Lepisosteus oculatus: one gene and its partners. The main gene of each other region encodes a partner of the protein of the gene in region 2 in a complex. Links are inferred from orthologs where the notes say so. Each region holds a gene or a part of one and is shown on either strand. Other genes may lie near its edges.

Region 1 (7,900 bases), on a different chromosome or scaffold from region 2:
CTTGATACACCAGCACACCTGTGGGATCCGTTTGTGAATGACTGCCAGCTTGTACCTTCAAAGCACTCGCTGAACTTGACAGATAAAGGGATGCAAAATGGATAAGTATATCCAGGAATTTTACTACAGGAAAATACACTACAGCACCTCCCTCTCCATTTCTTCCTCTGTGCTTTAAAAATAGCAGGCCACTCTCTCTTCGGAAACGGATAAACGAATAACGATCTAGTCCCGCAGCTAAACCAACAACCTCCAAACCTACGAGGAGGTCCCTAAGAAGGCAAATGTGCGCGCAACCTTGTCAACTCTCCCCGTCACCGGTTCAACAATCCGATGCTTCTGCCACCACCTATACAGGGGCACAGGAACTGCCTGCGAAGGGGCTCGGCACGACGGCCACAACCTGCGGAATGTGAAGCGTCTTTACTCAGAACGGCAGTGCAGTTGTTTTCTGGAAAACCCAAGGCACGTCCGAACTTACTTTTTCGGGGTGGGCTGGGTTGTGACTTAATGGCAGCTGAATTATGAATTATGGCAGCTGACAGAAGGAAAATGCAATCGGGCGATGCCACGGCACGATGATTAAGGGATTAAGGAAGAAGGGTAACAGTTAGCTGGGTCTCTGGACGCACCGTGCAGTGCAGATCGCTCATGCCATGATGCGCGCACGGTAACGCCTGGGGTGTTGTACACCGTGTGTGGCCCAGAGGCGGCTGGCGGTTGGCACAGGGTCGGTGCAGGAATATGATGAATAATGCCAACGGCCTAGCGGGGACAGATCACCCCCCGCCCCTTCTCCCGGCTCAATCCCCCTCACCTCCTCGGCGTGCTTCCTCAGCGCCTTCTCCCTCTCGTACTGAGTGATCAGCTGCTCGTTGTCCTCCTTCAGCAGCTCCAGCTCCACTTCGTGCTCCTGATTCTCGGCGAAGACGGAGTCCAGGTTCTCCAGCACGGCCACCACCAGCGGCATCAGCTCCTTCACCACGTCCTCGTCGTACTTGCCGATGAGCCTCTCGAACTCGCGGTAGATGGAGCTGGCCAGGCCCGACACCCGCTCCGACATCATTGCCGCCGTCCCCGGGTCGTCCTGGTATACAACTCCGTCCTCTAACTCCATTTTCTTCTCTCTCTCTTTCCGATGCGGTGCAGCCCTCCACCTCTTGCTATCTTGTACGAATTTATCTGCTCCTCAACGTTGTGTAGATGCCGGACTTCTTTAAAAAAAAATTAAAAAATAATAAAAAAATAAAAGAATCCGGGCAAGTTGCAGTCCCTCCCTTTAAGGGAGCGATGTCTTGTGTTTTATTTGGCTGCCGCTCCTCCAGCTCCCTGTGCAGCTGAGTTGTTGACCAGACCGTCACGTGATGACGTCACATTCTAAAACCGGGGCTGGGATTTGCGAGTGGAAGGGCTGGAATATTGCGCTGCAATTTTCGTTTCTTTAAAGATTACGCCTGGGTGTCTTTAATTAATTAGTAGTTTCATTTTGCACGAGTCGTGAAATTAATATTTTTGAAATATTCAAACAGAACAGAGTGTATCGAATTATCTTTTTGTGCGTTCACTTCTTCATTGTCTTCCAAGTACTGTATTCGTTTTTATTTATTCAAATGCACTGAACCATTCGACTTGTTCGTTTTTAACTAGGTAAGTCTTGCATTATGTGTTTTAAGACAAACATAAGTAAAACTCAAAAGAAATAGCCAATTTAGAACCCACTGGAGGAACTAATTAAACTAGTAAAGAACTTATCGAATGTCTGCACTTCTGATTAGAATATATCCCTCAGATGAATGGAGGTGGTATATTATCGAAAGCAGAAAGTGAGGAAGTCTGTTGGATTATTAAATATTAGAACAAGGTGGAATCTGACGCCAAAATGTTTAATTTAGTTCAGGTTTGTGAATCTGTATATGGTGCTACACATGCGGTTAGTGCTTGTTTTTGAATTGTTGAAAGTTGGTATGTCATGCCCAACGAACATGTGCAATATCATATTTAATACATTGCATTTTAAAAAGAAATATTTTTATAGAGTGCCGTCTACCTGGCACATAAGACGTTTAACAACTCACCTGCTATAGGTAAAGCTGAGTCTGATTTGATGTTACAAAACAGCGCCCTCTGCTGGGTCTCAAATGTTGCTGCTCGTTTAACCAGCTCATACTTGTTCCTTGCGACGTTGGTATTACCACGACCAAAACAAAATTATATAAAAAACAGACATTTTAATTTACCATGGTTCTGTTTTAATATGTCAAACTATCCCAATAGCAAGCTCTTGAAATATGTTTTCCTGACACTCCTGCTGTTTTACAAAGTGCTGAAAAGACACAGCTCTCAGTCTTCAATTAAAACGCGCACACAGAAGTGGTTTACACAGAGGTGTCCCTATCAAAGCAGAAGTTAATCGACCTCTAGTTGGACCGAACGATAAAGCAATCTGTTGGCTTAGAAAGGTACGTTTTTGTGCGCCGCAAAATGTCGAAAGTTCCGAGCTTAATTATTGTTCTTGTTACTGATAACGTATGTATTTAATGGTGCAGTAGCAGCTGTATTTCTACTTTCACGGTTGAAGTATATGTAGTATGTTATAAGAGTTCGTGTTGTATTGGAAGTTGCAAGGTAAAAAAGCTGGTTGAAATAAATGTGTGCACATTTAAAACCAATGTTCCCATGTCAGAATTCCTCTTTGGAAAATCTGTTGCCCTCTTTGGTAAGCGGGACTTAACAGTAAAATGGGGTGAATGGTATTGTAAATTCGTGATCGACTCAGGATGAGAGAACTAAAGAAATGTATGTATCTTGAAAAACAGTGTTACGATTTCAAAATGTACAACACACACATAACTCGTACGTTGCGTGTGAATAAATCAGGTCATTTTAGTTTTGGGAGCGAACCATAAACATTAGGTTTTCAAATGTTTAACGCAAAAGCTATGAACCCCACATACGGGATACAGCGTATACGGCGTGCATGTGTAAATTCACTGCCTCCATCACAAGGTCTCTGCTTTCTTAAAACTGTGTCGGAGTCTTCTCTTCTTTCGATCGCTCCTCATGTACCGAGCAGGTGCGCCCCAGATGTTGTACGATTTCTTTTAGCTGGGTCAATTCGTAACATCAGTGGGCTTTTGTTCAGTGCAAGTGAAAAAACTGCCTGAGGTCTATCTAGCTTCATTCGTTTGGATACAATAGCTCTTTGAAGGATGTCAAATAAAAAACAGAAGTGTCATAATTCCGTTCAACTCGTGATATGTCTTTGGGTGCCTGCAGAACAGGTGCGCTCCATTGAAGCAACGATAACAGACTCCCCCCCTCAGGTAGTACGGTGGCCTCCAGGGGCCAAAATCCTCCGTGTAAGGACTGTGTCGATTACCATTTCCTCGTTCCGACCAATGGCAACCAGGGGGTTTACCCTGCGCCTGCGCTCTGCAGATATGATAATTTTGTTGATATTCAGCTGGAGTTCAATATTTTGGGTTTTAGTTTGATTTTCTGTTCTATTTCTCCTTCTCGGGAATTTTACAACTGCACACACAAAACAAAACGGCATTGCATGAGGGGCTGATGGAAAACGCCAGGGATTTGGTGAGTTGAGCGGGGAGATCGAGCGTGGTGCTTTGGAGTGCAACAAGCCTGTTTTTCTCTTCCTTTGTTGTGATTGTCAGCCTGCAGCAGAAACAGCAGTAGAAAAAAGGGGCCTCCAGATTCGCCTAGGTAAAACAATCAGGTTTCCAAAGGTTCGGCTGACGGATTGCCGGGGCTTTAACGATTGTGAAGCACCCGAGAATTAGCTGAAACACATTGCAGAGACGCTAGTTTGCAGGACGAAGTGGAAAAGGCGTGCAGGCCCGTCACGACTGCAGTGGTAGTAGCATTCAAAGCACACACACAGATAATGCTTCCTTGTTTTTTTGAAATACTTGGTACGTAGACTTCCATGTCATTCGTGTATGTAACGGGTAAATCCTTCAAAATACGTGTTTTTCTGATATTACAGATAAAAACCCCAGCGAACACACCTTGTTACTAGGTGTTAGAGTTCCGAAGAAATAAATGCTGAGAAATAGCTGCTTATTGCTCTGTAGACCAGCGTTGCGGGTTACCATTCTGCTGTTACCGTGTCACACAGCAGTTTCGCTCTGCCTTGAGATTTTTAAGCATTTCTGCCGGAGTTCAAAATCGTAGCCATGTTTACAAATTAGAGCCCGGAAATGTTATGATACCAAGTTTTAAATGACTTGTTTAAATATTTGCGAAAACTCGGTATATCTTTTTATTGTCACCTTTAACTCGTAGTGTACTGCAGTTGGAGTAGTTAAGCTTATTGAAATACTTACAACTGTCGTTTGCGGCCGTAGAATGTATTGCATCCTGTGAAATGCATATGAAATCGAATAGCGATCATTGAAATTTCATTTCCATAAATATTTGTTTTTCTATGTGTAAGGTGCTCACTGACCAGTAATACATATCCTATACAAAGATTTTCTAGGTGTATTTCGGGTGTAGTAAGTTTCCACTACCATTGAAAGTTGGAAATATTGGATGGTAATAAGTGGAAGAAATAATTGTAAAAATGTTTGCAAGGTTTTTTTTAAGTTCTGTTCTTATTATCTTGGGTCTTTGAGTAGCATTTATTGGAACAGCGAGATTCTGTTTTGGGAGTTCATCATATTTATCAAATAAGTCTCTTCTGTGCTTAGAATACTGTTCAAAGCTGCCACCCATTATACCATTAAAATAAACTTTCTTATATGCAGGCTAAGAAACATCTTTTAAATATTGATTAAGTTGTCACAGTAGTAAGCTCCAGCAGATAGTGGATTTTGCACTGTACAGCTAAACTGAATACTGACACAACATGTTCTCCTTTCCAAAATACGAGGTGTGCCAAATAAAATGTAATGTTAAGAGCAAAGGGATCAATTCAGGAAAAAGAAACATGCTCTAGGCATGCCCCATTGCAGATTCTGAACTGCTACTCATGAGAGGGACCTGGATGTCTAGATTCTTCTATGTTCTCATCAAGACACCAAAATGCCAAGGTACTGTATGTAGCAAAACCTGAGAAATTTAAAACAAGGGAAGCTGGACAATACGCTAGTGTGGACTAATTAAAAATAAAAATCTATATAATTCAACTTTGGTTACAGTGTAATGACATTACATGTGGTTTCATTACTCATAATTTTTTTCTAAAGTTATTTCCTTTTTAACATATTTTAATAGACAGGTTAAAGGAACATAGTCTGTTTAGTTTAGATAAAGTAGGCTTGATCCTAATATTAATAATAATTACTTACATTTATATAGCGCTTTTCTGGACACTCCAGTAAAAGCACCTTACAGGTAATGGGGACTCCCCTCCACCACCTCCAATGTGCAGCACCCACCTGGATGATAATATCATCCAATATATCTGCCTCTGAGGTTTTTATATTGGGTCAACTTATAGGACTACTTACGACTCTGTAATGAAAATAAATTATTATGACTGTAATAAAACATAGATCACATTTAGAAACTAAAGGAGCAATCATTTAGATTGGGGAGTAGAAAACATGTCTTTACACAAAGAGCTGTTGGGGCCTTTAAGAAGCATTCTAGCTAGGCCTGTGTTGAGATCCAGAGTCTGAGAGTCTGAGCTGCTTCAAGAAGCAGCTGAATTTGCAGCTGTTCGCATGTTCTTATACTTTAAAATGCACCATGTGTTAAGTTTTGTTTAAAAGAAACTATAGAAACTTTGGTATTTTGAGAAAGGTGTTTTTGCAATCTGGAATCATGCTCTTAAAATAAAGAAAAATAGGCAGCATACAGTAGCTTTGGTGTAGATTTTTAATCTGAATACACTAAGTGCACATTGGTTTTCAGGCTGGTTAATATGCCTGCTGTGTTTCTGATTGTAACCCATAAGGCCAAGGCAATAGGAAATGCCAGGTCTGCAGCCAGCGCTCTTCAATGCCTGTCTTTGTTCACCCAGACTGAACACACTCCTCGGTCAGACAGGAAGAGGCGGGACTCCTTCGGGATGTATGATGGGTATGACAGCTGCAGTGAGGACACCAGCAGCAGCTCTAGCTCGGAGGAGAGCGAGGAGGAGGTCGCCTCCATACCTGCCAACCTGCCCATCATCAAGAACAATGGGCAGGTGTACACCTACCCAGATGGCAAAGCTGGCATGGGTCAGTCCACAAGTTCACGCTGCCCTCTCACAACACAAGTCTAATTACCCAAATTAAAGGCATAGCACACAGAGTGTTTGGTGTTTATTTTATAGCGCCATACCACCAGCACACAGAGTGTTTGGTGTTTGTTTTATAGCGCCATACCACCATTTAAAATGCAGTTAAGTCATTCTGTCTTTACTAGAGGCCAAACTTACTCATTGCTCTTTCAATATTTTTTAGCTTTATTATCTATATTTAAAATATCATAGTTGTGATTATTTTACATTCTTTCATTCTCTGTTCTGTTGAAAAGAACATCTTTCAATAGCTGGTGTAAATAAATGCATAGCTATATACTGTACATATATATCAACTGGTAATCCGTAGACTGAAATGTGAGTTACAAGGGCTCTGGGAAGAGTCATCATCACTAAACAGAACTAGAAAAAGGCAAGTTTAAAGGAAAGTCACATGACAGAGTAAGCTGTGCAGATTTTAACAGTATTTGCTTGTGTTGAATTATATCGGGTGTGTTCTGTTTTTTTTTTTCTGCATGACATTAATGAGTAAATTGAGAAAAAAATGTTTCCAGCGACAGTCTGGGATCGTGCAGGGATGTTTGCACAATTAAAAGGTTTCTCACTGTTCCCACCACTTGTAAGTGTGATGTAACCCACAATTGCCTGTTCTTTCAGCTACCTGTGAGATGTGTGGAATGGTGGGAGTCAGAGATGCCTTTTATTCCAAAACCAAGCGATTCTGCAGCGTCTCTTGTTCCAGAAGTTATTCCTCTAACTCAAAGAAGGCCAGCATTCTGGCTAGGCTCCAGGTAATGTTCTTTATTTTACACGTGACCCCAAAGAAAGCTGTTTTGGTGCTTGTGTTAGCAAAAAGACCTAGGTTAGAGTCACCAGCCAGACGAACAGCAGCTGTATTCACTTTTATAAGATTGTAATCTACAAATAATGTACATATTAATGTCTTTATATGTTAATAACATTGAATATTGGATATTTTTTATTTGCAGGGTAAACCACCTACAAAAAAGGCAAAAGTCTTACAAAAACAACCTCTAATGGCCAAGTTAGCAGCATATGCCCAGTACCAGGCAAACCAACAAAACCAAGCTAAATCAAAAACAGGTGAGGGACAGTGAAGTCCTGTAACTGTGACTATTTAACTAGTAAGAGTTTGTATATTCACAGAGTGGTTAGCATTTACTACATTTTACTACATGTGTGAATCTAAGAATAAATGACACCTTCCTTGATGCAGAAATTTGAATTTTGCATTCTGTAATGTACATAGTGTAGGTGCGTGGTATTACTAGATCATTACTCTCTTATTAGTGCTCCCAGAAGTAGCTGAAAGGAAGCACATGGTTGATGAATATAAGCATAGCACACAGAGGGCACTGCCTTTTGGAAAATGAATGCCGTTTAAGCTTGCCATTTCTGAGTGGGACTCTTATAAAAACACAAAAAGATTCAATTTCTTGAAAATGCATTAAAGATATTTAGGGAATTGGGTGCTGGAGTGGATATTAGCACTGTTGGTAATAAGTCACCTGAAGCAGTGATAAACTGAATATATTTTATCTTTCTGTCCTTGTCTTGCCCTTTTCAGTGGTTCCTGTGGAGGGGTTTGATTGGGGTCGTTACATCAGCAGCAATAACTCTGTTGCGGCACCTGTTAGCTGCTTTAAGCACGTAAGTAGAATTAAAACT
Region 2 (6,826 bases):
GAGCAAGAGATGAAAAGAGAAAGCCTGGAAAAATGAAGGAGGAGGCCAAAAAGGTAAGCACAGTCATTGTTTTTCTTTGCCCTTGTGCACAAGCCATCCTTCGGATACAATAGGCTGTTCCTCAGAAAGTTTATGATGATCTGAACTTTAAAAAGGACTATAACATTTTGTTGGCAGCATGTGGAGAAGCTGCAGACACAGTATAAAAAAGTTTTTGAAGTTTTACATTTCTCTACTTAACTACCCAAATGGCACACCCCAGTAACTGATGCATAGCCCCGTAGTATTGAGGACTTTTGGGTAGGAACTTAATACAAAGAGCTTTTCCTGGTATTGCTTGTGTTGGAATAATCTAACCTCATGTTCTTTGTCTATACACAGGCCAGCCAGAAATCTCTGAGCCTTGATAAAGGAACACAATATAGTGAGGCTGAGGGCCACCAAGCAGGTGAGTCCCCCAGAAATGATAGCATGTTCCACCCGGTCATTTACAGATAAATGGAGATTGCTCATCATTCTATGGAATGTTCTCTTTTTGTTTAAAAATCGATGTTGTTATTGTGGAACTTAACAACACTATAACAACTGAATGAGTGAACTGATGTTTTTAAAGTGCATTAATGATTTTTTTATTTTCAGCATAAACACTCAAGCTTTCTATTGAGCAAAATGTTAATATGGAAGAAATGTTCTGCTCTCTCTTTTCAGATTCTCCATCTCCTGCAGTGGAAACTAAAAAGTCCAAGAAGAAACGTAAAAACGTCTTTAAATTATTCTCACAGGCAATGAGGAAACTGGTTTGTGTGAAGCCAGTGTTGGATGATTGATCTTCACAAGAAGTCGTATTTTAATATATACAATATTTTAGCATTTTTAGGAAACAAAATCCATTTTTAAAATTTAAAGTCACGGAATGAAAGAATGGGTGTGAGGCAGCAGGAGTCAATGGCCCAACGTCATCAGCATGACCAGAGTCATTAAGGACAATCTTTCAACCAGATGTTTGAAGCAGCTTACAATGATCCGTACATGGTGTATACTGTGTTGGGTAGGCAGTAATATATATTGTAATTGGTACGTAATAAAAAGGGATTTATGAAGTATGACTGTCTTGTGTGGTTTGTTGGTGCAGTCTTGGTTCTGGGAGATATATATCTATCCTTTTGCAAGAGAAAAGGGTCCTAACATCCTTTAAAATTGTTAGAAGGCGTAGTTGGCTATAAAAGCAATCAAGGTTTCTGCATTGAAGGTTCACCATGTGTGACACTAAAGCATGCCTTTGTATTGCGGTAGGAAACTCATGTGAACACAGAGAGAACATGAGTAAAAGCCAGGCAGATAGCAGCCCAGGTGTGGGACAATTTGAAACATAAAGAAAATGGTTCTCTCACCACTGATCGCAGTTATATTAATGAGCAATTTTAACACAGGATTACTTACCTGTTATGTCGACATGCAGTGTTGGTTCATGTGACACTGTCGTGGTAATATGGGGATACCGGGGTCTGGCACAAAGTGGGTCTTGATGGCTCACTCCCTCCCGGGTTCTCTGCACGACAAGACAGAAGTGCTCGTGGGTGAGAGAGAGGTCTTAGCCTGCGTTTGGGCACATGAAAGGTGGGACATGTACCTGGCCATACATGCAGACAGACCACCAGGCACTTACAACACTGCTCTCTACAACAGGCACTGGCCACCCTAAGCCACAGCCTCTCTTCAGGAACTTCAGCAGACCTCAGGACAGGACCCAGTTCTTTCCCAGCTCCACACTTCCATATACTCGGAGTGGCCCTCCAAGGTCTCCACTGACCTGAGCCCCTTCCATCATGTTAAAGATGAGCTCTCCTGCTGGAATGAGTCATGTGTCATTTGGGGCACCTGTGCTGTTATTCCTGCCTGCCTTTAGGTGCGAGTGTTGCAGATGGCACACGAGGGCCACTTGGGAATAGTCAAAGTCAAACAGCAGTGTCTGGATCTGGTTTTGTGGCCAGGAAATGACAGAGACATCGAAACACTTGTCAGGTACTGTGAAGCCTTCCTCCTGGGACAGTAGGAAGTAGGAAAACAGAGAGCCCCGCACCACATCCTCTCCAGCCCCCAGACTGGCCATCCGAGCCCTGGGATCTTCTCCAGCTGGACATCTGTGGGGAGCTGCATGGTGTCTTTCCCCATCACAGTTTCTTCATCATGGTTTCTAATTTGCTCTTGAAATGACTGGAAGTGGCCTCCACTAGATCGGTCACCACTCAGGCAGTCATTGACTTCCTGGATTCCCCCTCTGCCCACTCTGGTTTTCCAACCAACATCACCAACGACAATGGGCCGCCATTTGTGTCCACTGAGTTTGGCTGACCAGGACATACGACACACTCGTAAGGGCCTTATACAACCCAACGGCAATCAGTGGGGTGAACGACTGAATCAGACAGTCAAAAATGGCATCAGGGCCCAACTAGCACAGGCCTGCTCCTTCCCAACTGTGTTCCTCCGCACCCTGCTCCACTATTGGACTACGGCCACAGAACTGGCCATTATACAATATAAGAAGCCCAAAGTCTCTGAAAAAAAAGTGCTTAAATGAGCAAATTTTCACTGTCTAAGACGTGTGGGAATGCTAACCCTAACCCTAGCTGGGGTTTCAACAAAGCAATCCTGCAATTTGTTCTTAAAGCCCTTCAGTCATCAGATTTGAAAATGTTTCCCAAACCAAAAAATATGAGTCTTAACCAAACCAAACCACTGAAAAAGGCCATTGGAGACTTGTATTCTTCAATAATGTGTCTTCTTTAGGTACATTTTCAATCTGTGGAATGGATGGTTTTGATACAAGCATGCGTTTCAGGTCAGTTTAGGGGTTGGTTTACAAGAGCTATTAAGTGTTGACCCAATTTTTACATCTACTGTATACAGAAAATTCAAGGTACTTAACCCTCACGAACATTTTGATCTTACTGTTTTATCTTTTATGTGTATTCCTATCTTACTTCCCAAACTTTTTTTTTACGATTCTCAAATAACAAGTTTCGTAATATATGCCAAAACTACCTAAAAAGCAAAAATTTAATAAATAATGCATTTGCCATTAGAAAATCTTGGTATCTTTACACTTGAAACATAGATTTCCAGAATTCCAGCATGATAAAGGTATTTTTACTGGGTGGGTAGTCTTTGACTGAGCAATGTAGCATTATAGGAATAAGTAAAAAAAGAGTATAAATGCACTCACAGGTGAAAGTTTCTGCTCTTCCCAAGTGTGAAACTTACCTGTGACATTGAGTCTTAAATACAACATTGAGAAGAACTATTGAGACTTGACGTCTGATTGTATATGTATTTATTTCTTAGCAGTCATCCAGATTGAGATACTACATATGAGATTTACATTAGGTAAGGAGAAGGAACAATCACGTATTCTCAAGAAGAATAAATGTAAATGAATTTTAGGCTATTTTTAATCTGCAAGAACAATCTATGAATAGTTTCAGACAAAATGAAATACTGTATAAAGAGTATACAAAGCAGTCATGAAAAGAACCTGACGTGAATAAAGACCATAAAGGAAATCACGCTTTCAGCTGAGAATTAAGAACAATGCGATTTGGATGAAAATGAATAAAGGGAAAGATGAAAAAACATTTTAGTCATTTTATTTTGTTAACTGTTTGTAATGATAATATTCTACCGTTTAGTGATAGTTTTTAATGTAAATATCTGCGGGTGCAGGAATAATGAATGGTTTTCTCTTAATCGAAGGTGTGACCATCAGCCAGATCTGACGTAGATACTCACGTGTTCGCAGGTGGAACGCCCCCTTGTGGTTAATTCGTCACAGCACAGGTAGTGTCGGGCGTTTTGCTGCCGTTACGCGCTTTGTTTCTCCTATCCGCTCCGAAAATCCAACATGGCGATGCACACCAAAGTAACTCCTCCGCAGATTCCAGATACACGCAGGGAGCTGTCGGAGCTGGTGAAGAGGAAACAGGAGCTCGCGGTAAATCCTTTTTTTTACATTACCGTCTTTTAAACCGTTTTTCGAGTCGCCATTGATCTGGGTAAATGTGTAATTTTGCTAGAGTGTTCTAAGCAAAACGTCATGTTTACAGGCGTATGTTGCTGCACTTGTATTGCGTTCGTTTGAGGAACGTACGTAACCGACCTTAGTGAATAGCAGCTCCGTCTTGTGCCAAAGAAGTGCCGGGTGTAGAGGCCGTGCACTCCGGTTAGCAGATTTAGGAAAATCCGTTTATTGTAAGGCTTAGAGGCCTTTTCTACACCGCTAATGTTAGTTCCTGGCGTGAAGGAAGGGGACTCAAGTCTCGGTTCTGTGCTTTGGATGTAGGCTTGTTTAAGAAATAATTAACGGCTTTCAGCAGATTAAACGATGACTTCAAGCATTCAATTTGGGAATTTAGTTGTTACGATACATAGTAAGGTGATGTTAGCATCGGATATAGCAGCTTTGCTTGGTGTGTGTGGTAATGAGGTCGGCATCATTTGATATCGCATCATCCTGACAATTTTAAGTATAACACGGCATTTACCTCAATGTAAACTAGTTACCTTGGTGCATAAATGAAATAGCACTTCATAGCGACTAATGCATCATGTCACAGACGAATGAACGACGAGGAATCTTGTTACATGAGAAATTCCAGATCTTTTTAGAATTATGCAACATTGAATGGCTCTCTAGTCGCGTTGTCAAACCCGATACCTTGGATTCTTTCAATAAACGACAGGATGAGGTCGGATCAACAGCCTGCTAACAATCAAACACGCTAGACGAGAGAGGAAACCCTTCTCCCGAGGAATGTTATCTTCTGCTTACACCCAACCCCAAATATAACGACATTGCGTGGATTTCAGTAGCCCTTAGCTTATATTGCCCCGCTGGAGGGTTGCTGTGGAATTGTAAGACGCACATTAGCTGGCGCTCATTTCCCGCCCCGATCCTGCAGGAGACGCTGGCGAACCTGGAGAGACAAATCTATGCGTTTGAAGGCAGCTACCTGGAAGACACTCAAATGTATGGCAACATCATAAGAGGATGGGATCGGTACCTAACCAACCAGAAGTAAGATCGGTTCAAGTCTTTCTTCCGATAGCGATTTTGTGCTAAGCTTGGCTTTGCGTCACTTTTTTAATACCTTTTAACCTCTGTTGCAGAAATTCCAACAGCAAAAATGACAGAAGGAACAGAAAGTTCAAAGAAGCAGAGCGGCTCTTTAGCAAATCATCTGTCACATCCGTCGCAGTAAGTTAAACGCTTGTATTTCATATGAAGTTAGCAAACTCGTCAGGTTTCTTTAAACGTAGATGGAACATACTTCATATATTGACGAGATGTTAAGCCTCTTGTGAAATAAAGTGATGGAATTTGTTTGAGTTCTTAACATTTCATGCTTTTAACGTTTGTTGTCCCTGTTTCTTTTCCAGGCGGTTAGTGCTCTAGGAGGAATACAGGACCAACTTATAGAAAAAAGTAGGCATTATATTTCTGTCCTTGTGCTCTTCACAGTCATCATTCCTATCTGTAAACACGACTCGGTAGACATCAAGGATATTTGTCATTTTCATTAACACAAAATGCACAGCTACAAGTTAGATAAGTCTAGATCGTTCCTATTTGATTTCTGTCAGACCAGCCAGCAGTAATTCTGTGAAGCTCTTTTCCGGGTTCCAGAGGAATTTGTCTTGCCCTGTAAATGTCATGGGAGCCCCTGTGGTGTGGTGATGTGCATTGCTGCTTCACAGTAAGGATTTCCTTAATTTTCTCCCATCAGGGGAGCCAGGCAGTGGAACGGAGAGTGACAATTCCCCGGATTTCCAGAACCAGGAGAACGAGCCCAGCCAGGAGGACACGGAGGATATGGATGGGCCCTTGCAGGGGATGAAGCCCCAGAAGGCTGCCTCGTCCTCTTCTGGCAGTCACCATGGCAACCACAAGAAGAGGAAAAACAAAAACCGGCACAGGTATCCACTTGTGATGTGTTAAAACTTTTGTTTCACTTAAGCTACAGTTAATGTGATCATTGTAATGGAGCTTTTGCACAGTGAGACCGGTTTCGCAAAGGTCATGCAGGGAGAGTGTGGAGAAAGAGCTAAAACTTTCTGTCAGAATTATTTAATTGTTTAGAAAGCGCAGACTTTAACTTTGTCACAGACATTTGGCAATAATTTGAGCATATTTATTTTTTACGTTTGAAAACGTAGTATTCAGTGTGTTCTATGAATGCTTCAAAACCAAAATTGCGAAGTCTTTTTTTCATGTAAATTTTATATGTTCTTAAAATTATTTGCAGCAAGACATGACCTTCACCCCTACTGTAAGCAGTCAGAGGATTAGTTGAATGTTGAATTACTTGCTGAAATAATTTGACGTATAAGTACTGGCAAAGGTTCTGAACAAAAACGCACATGGGTCAAAGTATTAGGAACCCCCAAACAATGCCATCCACCAGGCATTCAACTCTGCTGTGTGAACCCTGCTAACATTAAAATCTGCTTGAACAAGACATGGCATGTATTCTGATCTTGTCCGGTATCCCATTCTTCACCTGCTTTGCCTTCAGCCAGGATTGTCAGACTGAAGCGTGGGATTATAATGCACCAGCCCTTTTTACATCTGGGCATTGCCCTGGCCAGTGGGTATAGCCATGCATGTCCTGAGACCAAGTGCATACTCCTTTAACTAGGGGTTCATAATATTTTGGCCAGTGAATATGATAAATACATAGATGTACATTGTTGTTACAGTATACAGTTGAGGAGATGATTTAACAAATAAATTAACGACTTACTAGTGATCCTTAACTTAAATACCTTT
Region 3 (7,456 bases), on a different chromosome or scaffold from region 2:
ATGCTTCTCCATCTTGTGCGCTTATAACCAGCTTGGGTGCTGTACTTCCATCTGTAGCTTTTTCTTCATCCCCAATGCCTCACGGGTGTTTTTCTTTTATCCGTCATTGATGTTAACAACGCAATTCACCAACCTGGTGCATCCTTGTCATGCATCAGAAAATAGTGCATGGTTCATCGTTGTGTACGTCTGTTGCTACTGATTTAGGCACTCCCAGAATATAGTAAATGACAGCTGCATCATAAAAAAAAAAGTCTTCCATTGTACATGGAGCTTAAACTTTTGCTTTCTTGGAGGACGAGCCCTAGGTATGTTCCCACTCGGATAGGGCCTTCATCCAGCCCTGCATGTGTGGAGTCGGCACATTCTGCCCATATACTGGGGTGTTTGCCAGGTGCTGCGGTTTCTTCCCACCTCCCAGAGATGTGCCAGCTTGGCTTCATGGGGTATTCTGATTCATCCTGTGATTGGCTGGCGTCTTGCCCGGGTGCAGAGTGTGGGTGTGCTCCACCTTGCTGCCTGTGCTTCTAGGAGAAGGGGCTTTCTAATAGCAGGGTGGTGATTGGAGGTTGGTAGGGGGCATCATCCCTGATCACAAGAACTAGTCAGCCCCCAAGAACATTGGGGCTTAAATATTAAAGTTGGTATAGATGCCTTGCTTATGTGGCTGTTTGATTTTCAGCTGAAGTAAGCATCACAATGAATGGAGGAGATATATGTGGTGGTAAAGGAATAGTGTACGATAAGGTTTGTGTTGGGATAAGGTAACATCACACCTGGGATGGCTGGACAAGAAGCTGCTGGTCAAGAACATCCAACACCTCAGGTGTGATGTGATTCTAGTGCGTCACACCCTGGAGATTAGTTATCTTTTCATTTTATAATATACAGTACAACAGACCTTGGTATGGTTAAAAAAAACAGACCTGTGCATTTGTACTAGTCATTTTGTCCGAGGTTCAGTTTAAAAAGAAGCTGGACAATCCTGGTCTTGCAGAGTCAGTGACTGTAGGTTTTCTAGGTCTTATTAGAGCAAGAGCACATGGAAAAACTAAATATTTTTGTTAAATTGTCCCATTACACCATAATTAGCTGATTTAGGTTAATAGATGATGTACTCAAAAGAAAATGTATAGATAAATCAGCCTCCAGAATGAGGAATACTCACGCCTGGTTTATAACATTTGATACAATTTTTGTTTTTGTTTTTAAACCATGTGCTCCATTCATTAACCCCCGTGATGTCTCACATATTTGTGTTCTCAATTCCACAAAACAGTAAGACTGTTAAATAATACTGGAACTAATCAATATATAAATTATGGTATTAAATAGCTAGCATTGTACAAAAATGGGCTATTCATCATTCGTAAGACTTGAGGGCTATATTTGTCATCTGACCAGCATCATTTGCTACAAGAATGTCTTTAGTACTCAGTGAAAAAGTCTTAAGTAATTAGGAGTTATTCTGAATAACTATTCAGAGTACATTCACATTTAGAGCAAGTAGTAGTATAGTAGTGTTAGCACAGATCTCTGCAGTTATAATACTAACAAGTTACTGAAAACCCAGTTAGAAGATGGGATACATTTCTTGATCTCAAATGCCTTCTGGCTTTTACATTAAAGTTGTGTGTATGTTAATCAAAGAGTTGGGTTTGTAGCCACTTGTACACTGTTCACAGTGTCTAAGAAAGCAGTTAGGTGCAGGCTGTAGTGTTGCTGACCAGCTGATAGGTAGCAGATGGTATCTATGGTTCATTTGTTAAATATGGCAGTTTTTTCCCCCGAAATGTGGATTTGTCATTTTGCTTGGTACCTGTCAGGCCTGGATTTATTCTTTCTCAAAGCTGTGCGGTTATTTACTAGTTTGGGAGCCTCAACAGCTGGTGGTACTGGAGAAATGATTCTAACCGATAAGAATTAGAACACTAGATTTTGTGCAACTTCCTAGTTCTACAGGGGAAATGGTCTAACTTAGCTTTAAAGGAAGTACATTTGCAACTGAACATATCCTGTTTTATCTGATTGCACCATGACTGTTGCCAGGATCTCTTGTATACTTGCTTCCAGGAGCAATAGATCCAATCTGGCTTTTATATTTTAACCCACCTTAAACCTAAATAGAATAAACTTTAATTAAAGGACTCTTTGTTGTTTTGATTATAACATTTCCAGCCTTTAGATGAGTGGAACCGTAATCATGCTAAGGGATTGCAGTTAAAATTTCACTAATCGAAGGAAATCGTGTTGTAGCATCTTTGCACTTCTGACGTTATTATACATATCCACACCAGAATTCAAGGGGAAAAAAGTGTTTTAGAAATAGGATATCTACCATCTTTACACTTTTCTCCTTGTAAGAGATGCTTTGTAAGTGGAGCCTTCTTCAGGAATAGGGTGTAGATGAGGAAGAGAGCTGAGCCCCAAGTCAAAAGAGTGGGAGCAAGAATGACAAAAATGTGCGGATGAAAAGGGAGAGGTGAGAAAGGATGAATAAATATTTCCCTAGATGTTGTTTAAAGCTCTAGTCATGGAGCATAAAAAAGGTACACTTAAAATAAAGATGACAGTACATTGGTTTAAATTGGAAAACTACTAAAGTAAAATGATAGGTACAAACGTAGTTTCTGTATCGCAACAAATAGTTGTATACCTAGATGAAAGTGTCCACTACTTTAAATGTCTGTATGCCCAATCTTGGACTAGGTAATACCTGCTTAGTGGCATCTGATAATATTCTTTGAGGAACTTGCTGATTTTTACCCCTTTTGACTTAAGATATATCACTGGTGCCTCATGTCACACTCATCTCTGTGATCTTTACTCTTTTAATGTATTTCTCTTGGCATACGAGGCAGGCTCTCCTGTTAAAATCCCCCAATCTGTAATTTGTGGAAAACCCTTCCTTTTTATTTTTTTGCACCTCTGTGCCATCTTACTGCCTATCACTGAGCTAATGCTATTATTGGATTCATTTTCCATGTAGACCTACCGTTTTGGGGACGGGCACTTTGCTTGCTGCTGCCAGTGCCTGGGACCTTTTGCAGAGGTTGAAACTGTCCATCTTTAGATGTGAGTGTTCAGTTAAATGGTGTAAATCCTTAATTCCTGCACTTGTTCACATTGCAGACCATGGCAGTGTCATTTTAATTTTCTTATCTGGTAAAATAAAGGATTCAATGAAATTTATCACTAGAAAAAAAAGATGTCTAGCTGTCAGTTTTAATATTATTTAGCAGAAGTATAAACATTCTGGGAGTGCCATTGGTGGAATTTAATCGCCACCCTGTGTTTCTGTGAATTTAACTGGAGTTTAATTGAAAATGTACTAGCTTTTGCTGATCACAACTTCAAAAGGGACAAAAAGATCAATGGTTTGATGATGCATTTAATCTAATTAAACTCTTCAGTAGTGTCATTGTTTAAATCTCAGGCTAATACAATTTGTGGATGAAAGTTTGATTTTAATTAGGTTAGCCACCGATGGTTTTAGTTTTCTAAATGTGTTATTAAGCCTTAAGTTTTTCGAGATCAATTTGGTATTTTTTCCTTCTTGTGGGCATGATTTAGTTTTTAAGTGCTCTTAACTTTTTTTTTTCCATTGGTCTTGTAAAGACTGATTTGTTTTGATTGTCCTTTACAAAGCTGTTGATTCCTTTTACTTAGAAACTCTCAGACAGTATAGAGCAAACTTCCCTGGGTTCGCTTACTTACTGTACCATGCGATTCATTTTCTTTTCAAAAGAGGGCGACATTTTCCAAGATTGTGGAGATTCAACTGGAGGCGTCCAACAAGAAATCGGTAGCAGGCAGCCTTGGAGTTAAACGCCAATGATCAAATACCTGTAACTCTGATGGCACACGGAAGACTTAAAAAAAAAATTAAGCTTGCAGTAAACCGTAGGATGTCTTACTTACAATATTGGGAGGAAACTAAACTTAGAAACTGCCTCAGTGTTGATGCATATTACGTTTTTACCTGTAGTTTTTATCTACCGCACATTTCATTACCAATAGAAACCTGTTCTTCCGTTAAGATGAGAACGTAGTTGTAGACTGTACAGTGTTGGTGGAAATTCAACTTCTCTATCCTCTCGGGTCTGTAGTTTATCCCGTGTTAACCCCCATTCAGCCACAGACCAGGGGGCGAGTGCGCCTTTAAGTCGCGGGTAGCGCGTCCCATGTCGGCGCAACACACACGCCGTGTAGTGCGGATGGAGGCTGCGAGAGCTGCTGCTGCTGCTGCGCGCTGCCTGTCAAGAGTGCGCGGAGGAAAGAAGAATGGGGCGGGGAGGGGGGGGGCCGCGGCTCCTCGGTGCTGTTTATTTCGGCGTTGCGAGCGCTCCCCTCCCCCATGTTGCCGCCTCCTCCTCCCCTCCGGGCGCCGCGAGCGCGCACGCGCGCGGGGCCGTGCGGGAATGGCTGTGCGCTGATCGGGGGGCTGGGCCGCCAGCAGCTACCGGAGAGTTAAAGAGTTTTTAATGTCCGCCATGTTGGCCATGGCGTATTGAACCAGGGAGAGAGAGCGGAGCGACTGAAAAAAAGAGACCGAAAGAGAGCGACCAAGATCCGGGCCTTCCCGGCTCCGTTCGCCTCGCCGTTTGTATTTTTTTTAACCAATCGAACGGTAGACGACTGGAGAACGACACAGACACATCCATGAGAGCTCAAACCGGGACAGTTGTGAATTTTAGGGGATCGGATAGATTTATGCTGCATCTCGAAATATAAAAAATGAGTAAATTGTCGTTTCGGGCACGGGCGCTGGACGCTTCCAAGCCACTACCTGTCTTCCGCTGCGAGGACTTACCCGACCTGCATGAATATGCCTCTATTAACCGGGCAGTGCCGCAGATGCCAACTGGGATGGAAAAAGAGGAGGAATCGGTACGTTTTGCAGTTCCGAAAACCTATTCTTGGTAAAATGTCCAGGTTTCGGCAGCATGAAGGGGCGCCCCTATCTTGTCTGCGCAAGCTTGCACAAAATGGCCGCCATATTCTCGTTCCAGAAAGGCGGCTTGGTTCGGGGTTTTGCTCGCGTCCTAAGCAGGATTTGGTGCAGTATATACAAATATAAGACGGCGCTGGTTGCAGATGGTGTTGTTGGGTTCGGTTGTCGGGGCCCGTTAACCCGGGAAAAGGGTTGCACGGCACAAAGGGGTCACGTGACTCGAGGCGAATCCGCCATTTCGCTGACTTTCTCCTCGCGCTGGGCTGGGCCTCGTGTCGCTGCAGGAGCCGCGGCCCGGTGCGAGGGGGCGCGCGAGAGCTGGCAGCCCACACCCCCCCCCTCAGTCTGAGTACACATGGGATACTACAACATAAACAAGAGCGCTGTCGGCTGGGAACGCAGGTCCGACTGCCTGTGCTCACGTTGGTTTTGACGCAGAAGGAAGCCGTTTTCTGCATTCTCTAGACTCGTTTTTTTTTGCTTCACGACATGAACTGTTTCTGAAATGGAGTAGTACCAGAAGTATTTTTTAACAGCGTCGTACGCGTTCTGAGTTGTTGGCGCTGACAAGAGTTTGCGATGGGGTCACGCTGTTCGTGTTTAAGTTTGCGATCTGCCCATTTGTCTTTCAGTGTTTTCTAGAGACACGGCAGCTGAGCAAGTCGCGGAGGTTTCCGTAAACGAATGTACAGCTTGTGTACGTGAAGGGTGTTTTTGTTTTCTTTCGTCTTCGGCTGTGCCTCGCACGGAGCTGGGCAGCGGGCACTGCCGGGCTGCCAATGAGGAGACTTCCCTCCGTTTGGCAGAAAATGGACATGACCGGTCTGATTCCGGCTGAGGTGTGCTCACGCCTGCTCGGCTGCCGTGCTTGCGCGGCTGTGTTGATACAGCTCGTCAGGAGGCGTGACGCAAAACTGACCCAGTTTTGCCTTAGTCCTAAAACCGTAAATTACCCCCCCCCTCTCCCCAGTCCCAGTTAAATCTGCATTATCGCCTCGAGAGTAGGTCTGAAGTTTTCCATTATTTCCGAACACCATATCTCTTCCTACTCCGTGGCCGTTATCCACACTTCCTCCATTTGCGTTAAGTTTGGCGATTGATTTAAGCCTCTCACGCTTGAGTTGCCGATTGAATGAAGAAACGGATAGTCCTAAATCTAGGCTGGTAGTTTCTTCGCTTCGTTCTGCAGCTTTGAATGCCAAGAGGGAAAGCTTGTGTAGAAGCCGGTCGGGTATGGTGAATGTTTTACAAACGCAGCAGTAGCATCTGTGCGAATAAGTTAAATTGTGAGGTTAAAGCAGGCTATCGTTTTTTTTTTGCAATAGTATGGAGACGCCTCTCTAAACCACTTTACCGGACTTTCTAGTAAGTCCTAACCGCAGATCTACACTGTCACCTTCGTTGCAAATGTCAGTTCGCCTTTGAACTGTTGGCGCCAGTGAGGTGAGATGTCAGTGGGTGAAGTCTTCTGCTGAACTCTGTAAGCAGGCAGAGCGCTGGGTTTGCAGCTCCTATTTCAGTTGTAAACGACAAAACTTGACTTTGAAGGGCTGCGTGCTAAGAGAGAGATTAGGAAGATACCCCTGTCTGATTTTTACCTCTTTGTGGGGAATCCGTACCCGAACGTGCTGTTTTTTAACTCTAACAATATATTCTTCCAGTGCCCTTCTCTGTGGAGATTTTAAGTTCCTTCTCTTGCATTTAATCAATATCACATTTGCATATGTGATGGTTGATGTCTTTGTGGACATTTCCATGGTTATTGTACACACTAACGTTTTAACTTGGTTTTCTCTATGGTGTTGTAATACAAACTGTTTTGTTTAGGGTTGAAATAGGAGGGAAGAGCATTTAATGATGAGGAATGACAAGTTTGATAGTTGCCCTGTTAATTGTTACACTGTTTAGGATCAAGAACCGAAAATTAGAAATTGGATGCATCTGTCAAAGCACTGTAATCCATTGTCAAAATTGTTAGCAACAGGTGAGTTAATTAAAAGCCGTGTTGATTTATGCTGTGTATATGTATAAGAATGCATTACTGATATTACACAATTTATTGATCAGACTAAGTGTCGTGCTCTGCCCATAAATCTCATTTAAACCATTCAATTTTTCGTGATATTCCAGTGGGTGTTTGGATAAGCAGAAAGGGACTGTTCGGCTTCTGATTAGGAAGATGTCTGGGGACGCAGTGACCCACCAAAATAAGGGAGATTTAATGAGCTAATTTTGTATTCCTAAGTCATTCTCATTAAACGAACTTTGGTCTTTCATATCTGCTGTCCTCCAGATATATTAACAGAACACGGCAAACTACTAATCTGGTGTGGTTCCTTGTGGCCAGTAGTAGTCAAGAGAGGCTGCTAAATGTTGCCCACATCACCTTGATTTGTCTTCTCGCTGACATCTGATCCGTTAAAAATAGCAGTGAGAGGAAGGTGAACAGCCTTTTTTTTTTAAGTCTAATAAATCAAGATGGAAAGGAATCGATTTCTTTCT

What was found.
Region 1: meaf6 (region 2) and mbtd1 share a complex: the UniProt entries of both Homo sapiens proteins name them as parts of the nuA4 histone acetyltransferase complex. The link is inferred for Lepisosteus oculatus from reciprocal best matches to the Homo sapiens genes MEAF6 and MBTD1.
Region 3: meaf6 (region 2) and enhancer of polycomb homolog 1 share a complex: the UniProt entries of both Homo sapiens proteins name them as parts of the nuA4 histone acetyltransferase complex. The link is inferred for Lepisosteus oculatus from reciprocal best matches to the Homo sapiens genes MEAF6 and EPC1.

The regions. Positions count from the first base shown.
Region 1 is NC_090704.1:33,791,324-33,799,223, forward strand, and holds the start of mbtd1 (MBT domain-containing protein 1), read left to right. Parts: upstream 1-4,888; 5' UTR 4,889-5,021; coding exon 5,022-5,051; intron 5,052-5,986; coding exon 5,987-6,188; intron 6,189-6,868; coding exon 6,869-7,002; intron 7,003-7,200; coding exon 7,201-7,315; intron 7,316-7,799; coding exon 7,800-7,882; intron 7,883-7,900. Other genes in the region: spag9b (C-Jun-amino-terminal kinase-interacting protein 4), read right to left, coding at 818-1,117. UniProt on the Homo sapiens protein: Chromatin reader component of the NuA4 histone acetyltransferase complex, a multiprotein complex involved in transcriptional activation of select genes principally by acetylation of nucleosomal histones H4 and H2A.
Region 2 is NC_090706.1:12,445,109-12,451,934, reverse strand, and holds the start of meaf6 (chromatin modification-related protein MEAF6), read left to right. Parts: upstream 1-3,826; 5' UTR 3,827-3,901; coding exon 3,902-3,991; intron 3,992-4,958; coding exon 4,959-5,074; intron 5,075-5,166; coding exon 5,167-5,254; intron 5,255-5,436; coding exon 5,437-5,482; intron 5,483-5,783; coding exon 5,784-5,973; intron 5,974-6,826. Other genes in the region: uncharacterized protein, read left to right, coding at 1-53, 382-448, 709-827.
Region 3 is NC_090701.1:39,246,522-39,253,977, forward strand, and holds the start of enhancer of polycomb homolog 1, read left to right. Parts: upstream 1-4,444; 5' UTR 4,445-4,737; coding exon 4,738-4,890; intron 4,891-7,456. UniProt on the Homo sapiens protein: Component of the NuA4 histone acetyltransferase (HAT) complex, a multiprotein complex involved in transcriptional activation of select genes principally by acetylation of nucleosomal histones H4 and H2A.